Callithrix jacchus: one gene and its partner. The protein of the gene in region 2 interacts with the protein of the main gene of each other region in a biochemical or structural test. Links are inferred from orthologs where the notes say so. Each region holds a gene or a part of one and is shown on either strand. Other genes may lie near its edges.

Region 1 (4,828 bases), on a different chromosome or scaffold from region 2:
ACTTTAACCCCATGAAAATGTGTTCCTTCCCTCCTATCTCTGTTTCAAGGACTTCCACCAGAGAAAAAAACAATAGTTCAAATGTCTTTAAATTTCCATTTATATTCTGTAAAAGGACATTTTAGTATTTCTATATGGAATATTTTCCTGGCACTTGTCATGTGTATTTTGAAAACTTTACATTGGAGTTTTTATTACATGCTTAATTCATTTGTGTTTATAAAAATTTCTACCTTGGGCTGCTTATGAAGGATCTTTCCTTTTATGCAATCAGTTTGTCTCTATGCAAAAACCCCAGGCCAAAACAGCCACTTATTTCATAGATAAATACATAAGATGTCTTTTCTTTACAAGCAGTTTCTCAAAAAGCCCTGGAATCTACCACACTGTCATCGGATTTTAATAGGTACTGTTTATCACTGGGATATCAAGCAATGCTGCCTAACATGCATACAAAATGTCAGCAACCATATTCCTCTTCGGGCTCCATCTCAGCACTGACCTTTGTTCAAAGGCTTTTACTTTTTAATGCAGCAGTTAGAGATAACTACTTCATTTATCAAAACTCAATTTCCATAGTAACATCTAGCCTGGGGAGATTCAAGTCCTCATACTAATCCAACAACCCATTCAAAGAACTGTTGAATACTTTGGTTTCCATAGCAATGATGGAATAATACATTTTGCTAGGTCATTGCTTTTATTAGCAAACTTATTCTCTGAACTTTAGGTAAGGCTGTATTTATTGAGGGGAAAAAAACACAATCGCTTTATGTAAGTTCATTTCTTTAGGGTTGCTCTTTTAAGAAAATCACAAATAGTAACCATCTATATATTTGAAAATATTTGGAGTATTTGGGGGGCCTTCAAAGTATGCCACCTTGTTTCATCTTAAAATGGGTTCTGATGTAGTTTAAAAATTTAAAAGCTCTTAAAATTTCTGGCCGGGTGTGCAGTGGCTCATGCCTATAATGCCAGGAGGGGAGGCAGGTGGATCACAATGCTAGGAGATCAAGACCATCCTGGCCAACATGGTGAAACCCCATCTCTACCAAAAATACAAAAATTAGCTGAGTGTGGTAGTGGGCTGTAATCCCAGCTACTGGGGAGGTTGAGGCAGAAGAATGGCTTAAACCCGGGAGGTGGATGTTGCAGTTGAGCGCCACTGCACTCCAGCCCGGTGACAGAGTAAGACTCCATCTCAAAAAAAAAAAAAGTGATTGCTATAGATTTAACAAAGCAAAAACAAAAGTAGAGGGGTTAAACTTAAAGCCACATATAAACAAGAATAAAATATAAGCTAGAATAAAGATGAAGTCTCTCAAACATGCCAAGTTTGGGCTGGGGCTTGTAACCCATTTCTGACCACTTGATTTTAATACTCTGCAATTTCATCCCTACCTTTCATCAAGCACAGAAAACATACTAAACACAGATATTTTAACCTAGAGGTGAAACTAAAGATAACGTTTTCAGCGATTATGCAGTACATGCTAAATGGGAAAGTTGTTTAGAGTTTAAAATGGCTTTCTCAAAGCAAAATTATTTGCTATGGAAGAAAATGAGATTTTTTTTTTCTTTCCTTCAAAACACTGCCATGGGCCAGGCATGGTGGCTCACGCCTGTAATTTCAGCAATTTGGGAGGCTGAGGCAGGCAGATCACCTGAAGTCAGGAGTTCAAGACCAGCCTGGCCAACATGGTGAAACCGTGTCTTAAAAAAACAAAAAACAATAAACACTGCCATTATTAGTTTAAAAATCCATTAGTAAACATCGTTGTTTACATTTTTGGGTAATCAATTCTATGAGTGGTGACAGGGCAAGAAGGCCTTAGTGAGGGAACATCACTGGCTTTCCTGGAACCAGATTTTTCATGGAACTGAATCTGAGCCAAGCCCATGCTGAAAAGGTAGGCTATTAAAAAAAAAAAGTTTACAGAAGAAAGAAGAGATCAAACACGTGTTGGCTTTTAAAAGGATGAATACCACTTACACTATTTACACAACTCACAGAATTAACAAGAAAATTACATACCAGTGTGAGTCCTCAGGTGAGCTTTTAAATGAGAAGACTTTGTATAAACTTTTGTGCAACCTGAAATAAAGGAGAACAGTGTGTCATTTTGGAGATCCTTTTGAAATCTTTACATTTGATGATTCAGTGTTTAAAATCTGGCTTTAAAGAAGAAATCTCTCATGGTAGATGAGATTATTTGAAGCTTCAGTTTTAAAAGTTTTAAAGAGCCCTCCCCCCATTACCTTATTAAAAGCATAAAATGATTTGTTTTATGTATCACTTTAACAGGAAAGAATACAGATAACCAAGCCAAATGGAAAATGTGTCTTAATAATCCAGTAGGTACTGTACTTCAGTAATTTAAGAGTTACTATATGTTTTTAAAAAGTTTTTAATGGCTCTAGAGCTGACAGTGCTAAGCCATTATCCAAGATGACTCTAATTTTCTATACTCCCACACTTCGTTTTTTTTCATTTAGCACATCATGCCATATCATGTATCAGAGTCAATAAATCTTGCAATGTATTAATTATAAACTAGCTTTTCCCAGTAACTTGTAGATATATTCCATGTACTGTCATCAATTTATACTTTGAGCCACGTATCTCATTCAAAACTGAGCATATGCTCACATGCCATCAAAGCCATTCTTAAATCTATCCTGTAGACAGTCTTGTACCTCCATCAGGCTAGCTGGCTACAACCTCCACTTCATTATTAATCCTTATTTTCCCCTACCCTACTTGATCTCTTTCTGGGGCATTTAATTTAGAATTAAAACCTGCAATTTATTCGATTGCCATTTTAAAGTAACTCTGGCCTAACTCTAAATGATATATATTAGAAATTAAAATCTCTTTTAATATTAAAGACAAAAAAGTCCAAGGGAACTTTTTCCAGAATATTCTAGCCAAGTTTTTGGTACATAAAATAAGTGACAACTAACTTGTTTACATACCAAAGAAAAGCAGAGATGGATATTAAAAAAAAAAAGTAGGTAATTTTTTTACTGTCAAGTACAACTTAGCTATGTAAATTTAAAGCCATGAGGTTGAAAAGGATGCATGCGTGTGTGCGCGCACGCACGCGCGCGCACACACACACACACTCACTCACACTCTCTCTCCCCACCCATCTACTGTCTCTTCAACCAGGTAGAGTACATACCAGGGTAATCGCAGTAGTGAATGCGTCGTTTCTCCAAATCAGGGTTACTCCTTCTATTGTATCTGACAGGTTGGATGTTTTGTGAGTTAACTGGCAGGGTGGTGGGTAAATTTGGATTGTGAATTGCCAGTTTAGAAGCAATTGTAGCAGCATAGGATGGAGGTGGGGTTAAATTCTGGAGCATCTCTGCTTGTCTATCTGGACTTCCAGGCTCTGAGCTTGGTGGTGACGGGGGAAAGTAAGTGGCCTGTTGTGGAAGAAACTGACTTGGCATTGTGTATGTGCAAGGGGGCATGGCCTGGAACTGTTTCACTGCAGTCTGCGGAACAGCAGAGGTGTGTGTGTTAAGGCCTGCCATGGCAGCTGACATAGAAACATTAAGAGTGTCCATTGCTGCTGTCTGGTTTGTAGAACTGGGCATATCTAGATCCGGTGTATTCAGTAGCTGGTACAGGTGGCCCTGCTGGGGAGGGACAGAAAGATGAAGATCTGGTGTAGGAAGTTCTTGTTTGATGAAAATATTGTTCACCTCTGGAGCTGCGGTCTGGTGTGAGCTGAATATACTGGTGAACTCAGGGAGGGCCTGGGTTGGGGCCGGAGGAGGGGCAGTCGTTTCACTCTGGTGGCTGAAAATGGCAACAGGTTCTGTCTTGATGTGTGTGACGCAGGGTCTCTGGGATTTGTAGAGGCCAGTTCTCAGGTGAGTGATGTCAGGGAGGAACACGTTCATGTTGATACTGTAAGGTAACCCTTCAGTGTCAGTGAAGAACTGGTCTACGACTGAGGCACTGTCTCGTCTATACTTTTTATGCTCTGGAATTATAGGAACTGGAGGAAGCTGAGGTGTCAGATACTTCTCCATTTCACATCTTGTCTAAAAAAGAGAAGAGATACAAACATGCATAATCCACCTGATGCACAGTCTCAGGAAGGACAATCGGCGCCTATTAAAATTCTCCCAATCCCTGTGTGAGGTATTAGGGCAAACTTCTCCGTGTTGCTTAAAAACATATCAGGCTTATTTAATCAATTATGTAATATAATTGGTTGACCAAAACCTTATGAAACTCTGTGTAACTGGTAAAACTGCTCCCTCAATCACCTCAGAAGTGAAAGACGCAAATCAAGAAAAAAAAGAAAGCAAACTGAAAACATTCCTTTCTGATGCAATAACAAGGTATCACCCCTGTACAAGCAGGATTCCCTGCCCCATTACACAGTTAAGTTTGCAATTAGAGTACAGTACAGTATTGAAACGTTGCCAAACTGCTTCAATTCTGTTTAAGTCATAAACATTAAAAAGTTTTTCTTAAAAAAGAGAAAGTGCAAATCTTTAAATTATTGCAAAGGTTTCTTTGCTTGGCTAGATACTTCCAAAGTATCAAATACTAAAAAAAAATTATTTGGCTATTTCAGTCTTTTCTTGTTTACAGTTCAATGGGAAATTAAATACAATATTCTAAGCAAAACCTTGTATCCACTGAGACAAAACAATTTCACATTCAGTATTTGATCTAAATGTTGATTTTAATCAGCAGATCCTGTAATTGGTTAATATGACAATGAAATGTTCCTATTCATATCCCTATCTAAAACAGATCTTTAATTACCTAGGGGAAAATCACTCCCTTGGTAGAGTGCTG
Region 2 (5,373 bases):
TGGCGCGTGCCTGTAATCCCAGCTACACAGGAAGCTGAGGCAGGAGAATTGCCTGAACCCAGGAGGCGGAGGTTGCGGTGAGCCGAGATCACGCCATTGTACTCCAACCTGGGTAACAAGAGCGAAACACCATCTCAAAAAAAAAGTCAGGAGTTTGAGACCAGCCTGACTGACATGGTGAAACCCCATCTCCACTAAAAATACAAAAACACTAGCCAGACATGGTAGCGTACGCCTGTAGTTCCAGCTACTGGGGTCGCTGAGGCAGGAGAATCGCTTGAACCTGGGAGGTGGAGGTTGCAGTTAGCCAAGACTGCACCACTGCACTCGAGCCTGGGTGACAGAGAGAGACTCCATCTCAAAATAACATAAAATAAAATTACCAAAATTTTTAACCAATCTATAGTTAAAGCAATACAAGTAGTCCAAAAGTTAGTGAGCAACTTTGACAGAATGCAACCTACATTCAAACTACAGTTTGTTTCTTAGTTTGTCCTCCCCTCCTTCTCAAAATACAGGTTCTACATGACTACATTTCTCTTTATCATATCTTTGTGAAAAACAAAATACATGACTCTGATTCTAAGTCTAACATTACATCCACTATTCAATATTTTCATGTCAGTACACACTTAAAAGACAGAATTTAAGGTTCCTTACCAAAACATAGTAAGGCAACTAAAGAAAAACAGTACAGTGGGAGAAGTTCCAGAGGAGGAAAAAGTGGTCAAAGAAATAAGAAACATTATTCTAAGACAAGAGTTGGAGAAACTGATGGTAGAAATAATAAAACACTATAAAAGTAAGGAAAGATGAACTGAGGCTTGTTCTGGTATTTCTCGAAACACAAACTCTGGCTGTGTCCTGAAAATTTATGGACACAGGTATGGAATATATAAATAAATTGCCTATGGAATTTATAAATGAATTGTCACATAATACAGAGGCTAATAAACTTGCAGAACTCATTACTTTAAAAGAATAGGACCAAACATTGTTAAGTTTGAGTTTTAAATAAATTTAATCAAGATCCTGAATGGAGAACTTCAGATAGACTGATAACCCCAGGCTTACATTCATTACCACAAAGCAACTCTCAGCAGTGGCTTCAGACAGAAGGAGCCCACACAGTTGTCTAGACGGACCACAATTCTCACTATAGTACTGTCTATGCCTGCTTACATAAAATTCTACTCTATGTTTAACCCTTAAGGACTGTATATGATATGTTAATTACTTCCATGAAACTTTAATTTGGTACTTTGAGAACATTACTAAAATGCAAGTCAAAGGTTTTATAGACTTCAACTTTAAAACAATGGAAGGAAAAAGTCATTCCTGAAAGAATTAAATATCAAAAGTGTATCCTAAATTGATACAGAAATAAAGACAATACAAAATAGCAAAACCTCAAACAAAATTAAAAAGTGTTGTCATTTAAGATGTTACTCCAAAAAAAATAAAAACTTGGTGAAGGGGAAAAAAATCACTTTTATAAAATGATTAATGTGATAAATGCTCTTCCCCAGATAAGCTGTGATTCCTAAGAAATCAAGTTCCTAAGTGAAATCTGTTACAGTGTCTCCTGACACACAGACCCAGGAACTGAGAAGATTAACTCCTGTATCAATAGGTACTAAATGAAAATCTCCCAAGACTGTTTTTTCATTTTTTTTTTTAAAAAGGGAATTTTGCTTTCGGGGGTCCTATATAAGAGTACCCCAGAAACAAAAAGAACACTGTACACACCCACAGTACCAGGAAAAGGTTACAGATACAGATGGCCTCTGTGCGCACACATCCTCTGGCTTCCTCAATTTCCCTTTGCCAATTACTGGCCAGAAAGGTGCGAGTATTCACTCTGAAGAAGGAACTCCTCCAAGAGAAACCTGCATACTTGCATTACTCGTACAGAGTTAAAAAGTTACGAAATACAGGCCTCCCTAACACCTTCTCCCTTCTGTGAATAAAGCTAGACCCTCTTGTGACTCCCAACACTCCTGGGAACATCAGCAAAACTCCAGGAGGAAGCGCCGGCATCCTCCCACTTTCTCCCCTCAATTCCCTCTCACGGGGCCACTCACACTTTAGAGAAGAGCCGCGGCGCCGAGAAAGTGGGCTGGTTCCCTTCCTCCTTCGGACTGAGGCGGCAGCGCGGTCCTGAGGAAGAAGCGGCTCGTGTCGCTAAACCAGGCGGCCACTCGGGTCTCTTCCGTGCTGCCAGGGGCGAGGAGGCGGCGGCCCCGCTTACCTCCTCTTTTCCTCTTCCTGGGTCTTTTCAGGCTGCGACTCCTGCCCGTCCAGGGCCACTTCTCCCAGGACAGTCACGTTTGGGAGGCTCTGGATTTTGTTTTTATAAAGTTTCCTCTGGGCGGAGGCTGTGGCCGGCCCCCCGGATCCCCCCCGGCCCCGCCGCCCTGGGGGCTGGGGCGGGGGAGGGGGGCTCTAAGAACTCCTCCCGGAGTCCAGCCAAGGAGCCGGGGGGCCGGCGACTGGCCAAGGGAGAAGACCCCCGAAGGGGGCTGAGGGGAGGGGGAAGGTGAGGAAAGGACGGCGGCGTCGGTCCCGCTCTCTCCGCCGCCCCAGCCGCTGCTTCACATCGGGGTCCCAGTCCCCCCGGCCGGGGGGGTGGTTGCAGAGCTTGGTTGGGGCCCCGGCTCATACACTCCGGGGCAAGATGCTACGGACCCGGGCGGGTGGCCGAGGCGGCGGCGAGGCGGGGGACCCTGCCGGCTCCGCTCGGCGCCGCCCCCGCTCCCGGCTCCTGCATGTGTCGCTGCGGCTGGGACCCCCCTCCCTACACCTTGGGGGTCCCACGCCCCACGCCCCGGGACGAGGCAGAAGCTCCGGCGCCTCCTCAGCGTTCTCTCACCGCGGAGCAGCTACCCAGTCCCGGCCCGCGGTAGCCGCCTCCCTGCCCCCCAAGCCGCCGGCTCCGGCTCGGGCTCGGGCTCGGGCTCGGGCTCGGGCTCGGGCTCCGGCTCCGGCTCCGGCTCCGGCTCCGGCTCCGGCGTGTGCAGCCTCTGCTGCCGGCCGGGAAGGTGAGGGGGGGAGAGGTGTGCGGCCGCGGCTCCCGCTGACCCAGGTGAGGGCGAAGGTCTCAGCGGCGGCCAGTGCAGAGGGGCTGAGTCTCTCGGATGCTCCTTCGCTCTTACTCTCGGCGGCGGCGGCGGCGGCGGCGGCGGCAGCGCCCGGAGCTCAGTTCGCTGTCTCCCTCGCTCTGTGCGGGGCTCTCGCCTCACTCTAGAGAGAGAGGGGCGGGAGGAGAGCGGCGCCTGCAGATGACGCAAGTCACCTAGCAACCGCTCTCCTCCCCCTCCCTCTTCTTTCCGCTCTGAGGCTTCCTCCGCGGGCCTTTTTTCCTAGTCCAGCCACCCCGCCCTGGGCGCCTCTGGCGCGCTCTGATGACGCTCCAAGGGAAGAGGAAGTGGGGATAGGCGAGCGGGTGGGTGCGCCTCGGGCCGCGGGACTTGCAGCCGCCGCCGCCGCTGCTGCAGCCTCTACGGCCGCGTCAGAACTGAAGAGAGGAAGGGGAGGAGCCGAGACAAGCCTAAGCTGCCGCCCGATCTTACCCCTGACCCGAGGGCGGCCCGGAGAGCTTGCTCTGTAGCGGTTTCCTGCGGGGCAGGTGGGACTGCTCCTTTGGGAGGAAGTAGGAGGCCCAGGCCGCGCCTTCAGGCAACTGCGCGCACCACCCGAAGGTGAGGCATTTGGCTCCAAACAGGCCCTCGAAAAGCCGGACTGATCGAGGAGTTACCCCACGGCCTGATCCACTGCACCTGCCCCAGGGAGAGAGCGCCCCACCCTTCCCGTGGCGTGGGGTGAGACTCAGCGCTGGATAACGTGTGGTCGGGCAGAGCAAATGTTTGATGAATGAATGAATGAATGAATGCCTCCTCACGTGGCACTCGCGAAGCTCATAGGATATGGTGGAAGTGCAAGCGCTTTTCAAACTGCAGTGCATTGTAAAAATGAGTTGTAATACATTCCTCCCCTCCCCCTAGCTATGAAAGGAAACAGGGGTGCGGCCTGAGTACAGAGTCACAACCTGAGTCTTCAGTGGAAAAGGAGATGAAATGCTGGGCAGGGGAAGGAACCCATCCTCGGGCAGATTTTTAGGGCGGCGGGGAGGGAGGATTGGAAGGGAACCATCATCCGGGAGATTGTGGAAGGATTTTTGACTCTCAAGGGAAGAATTTCATTAGTAGTGCCACACTTTTACGAATCGTTCTTTCTTACGGTTTGGAGCTTTCGAGAGCTTCTCGTCTTGGTTCATCAGTGTACAGTGTCATCAAGAAATGTTGGCCTGTGTTTCAGGTCTGACTCAAAGGTTATTTTCTTTCTAAAACAAATATTATTACTATTAGTGCAGCTTTTCCTACAGACGTTATCCTGGAAAGGAACGTCAAGTAAAAACTCATGAAGTTTAAAGTGTAGTTCTCCAGGAAAAAAAATTTTTAATAAAAGGATCCGAATCCTGAGAAATCTGTCTTGAGTGAATAGCATGAGAATGGTCAATCGTATCAGAAAGACATTAAAGCAGCAACAATAATGAAAGCAAATTTCACAATTATGTCGCTGGACCCTAGTACATTCCACCTCCTCTGAAAACAGTAGTAATGGATATTACAAGTATTTCCACCTCGAGGAGGGGTGAGATAGGAGCAAGTGTATTATAAACAAATTTGGGAAGCTCTGGGTTTCTGCCACTACTGCCACCACCATCTGCAAACGGTAAACTAAGGAATATTTTAACTGGGTAAATCCAAGGGCTCCTGTTGATTAAAATGCTACAGGAAAGGTGGTGGGAGGGGCAAAGGAGGATGTGGCAAAACCAAGGAGAGTCTCACAGACTTAGCATCTGACCTTACTGCCCTTGACCTGAAGTTGCAAGAGCCAGGTTAAACATCCTGCTTAAGGCCGGGCGCGGTGGCTCATGCCTGTAATCCCAGCACTTTGGGAGGCGGTGGCGGAGGCGGGCAGATCACACCAGCTACTCCGGAGGCAGGAGAATCACCTGAACCTAGGAGGCGGAGGTTGCGGTGAGCCGAGATCTCACCACTGCACTCCAGGCTGGGTGACAGAGCAAGGCTCTGTCTCAAAAAAAAAAAAAAAGTCCTGCTTAAATTACCCTGGATCTTTCTGTCTTTACATGACCAATCCCCTGCTACATCCTTCCAAATGAGACTCACAGTTAATCAGACCAAAAAGTAATGGTCTCACATGGCTACCATATAAAGATTTTTTGTTTTCCCCCCTCTTCCTATATTACAGCAGGGGAATGGTGGAAATTAAAGGAGTAAAACACACAGATTTAGGGGATTTTGTGAAGCTAAGCACCTCAGAGAGTTTAAGCTTTGTGGGCTTTGACGG

Evidence for each region. The genes of interacting proteins can lie anywhere in the genome.
Region 1: the proteins of FBXW7 (region 2) and KLF5 form a complex in vitro, tested with the Homo sapiens proteins (2 studies listed by BioGRID, with this or other methods). The link is inferred for Callithrix jacchus from reciprocal best matches to the Homo sapiens genes FBXW7 and KLF5.

What each region holds. Positions count from the first base shown.
Region 1 is NC_133502.1:42,204,342-42,209,169, forward strand, and holds part of KLF5 (Krueppel-like factor 5), read right to left. Parts: intron 4,060-4,828; coding exon 3,186-4,059; intron 2,096-3,185; coding exon 2,036-2,095; intron 1-2,035. UniProt on the Homo sapiens protein: Transcription factor that binds to GC box promoter elements. Activates the transcription of these genes.
Region 2 is NC_133504.1:44,161,154-44,166,526, reverse strand, and holds the start of FBXW7 (F-box/WD repeat-containing protein 7), read right to left. Parts: upstream 3,246-5,373; 5' UTR 2,252-3,245; exon of another isoform or gene 2,161-2,251; 5' UTR 2,085-2,160; intron 1-2,084. UniProt on the Homo sapiens protein: Substrate recognition component of a SCF (SKP1-CUL1-F-box protein) E3 ubiquitin-protein ligase complex which mediates the ubiquitination and subsequent proteasomal degradation of target proteins.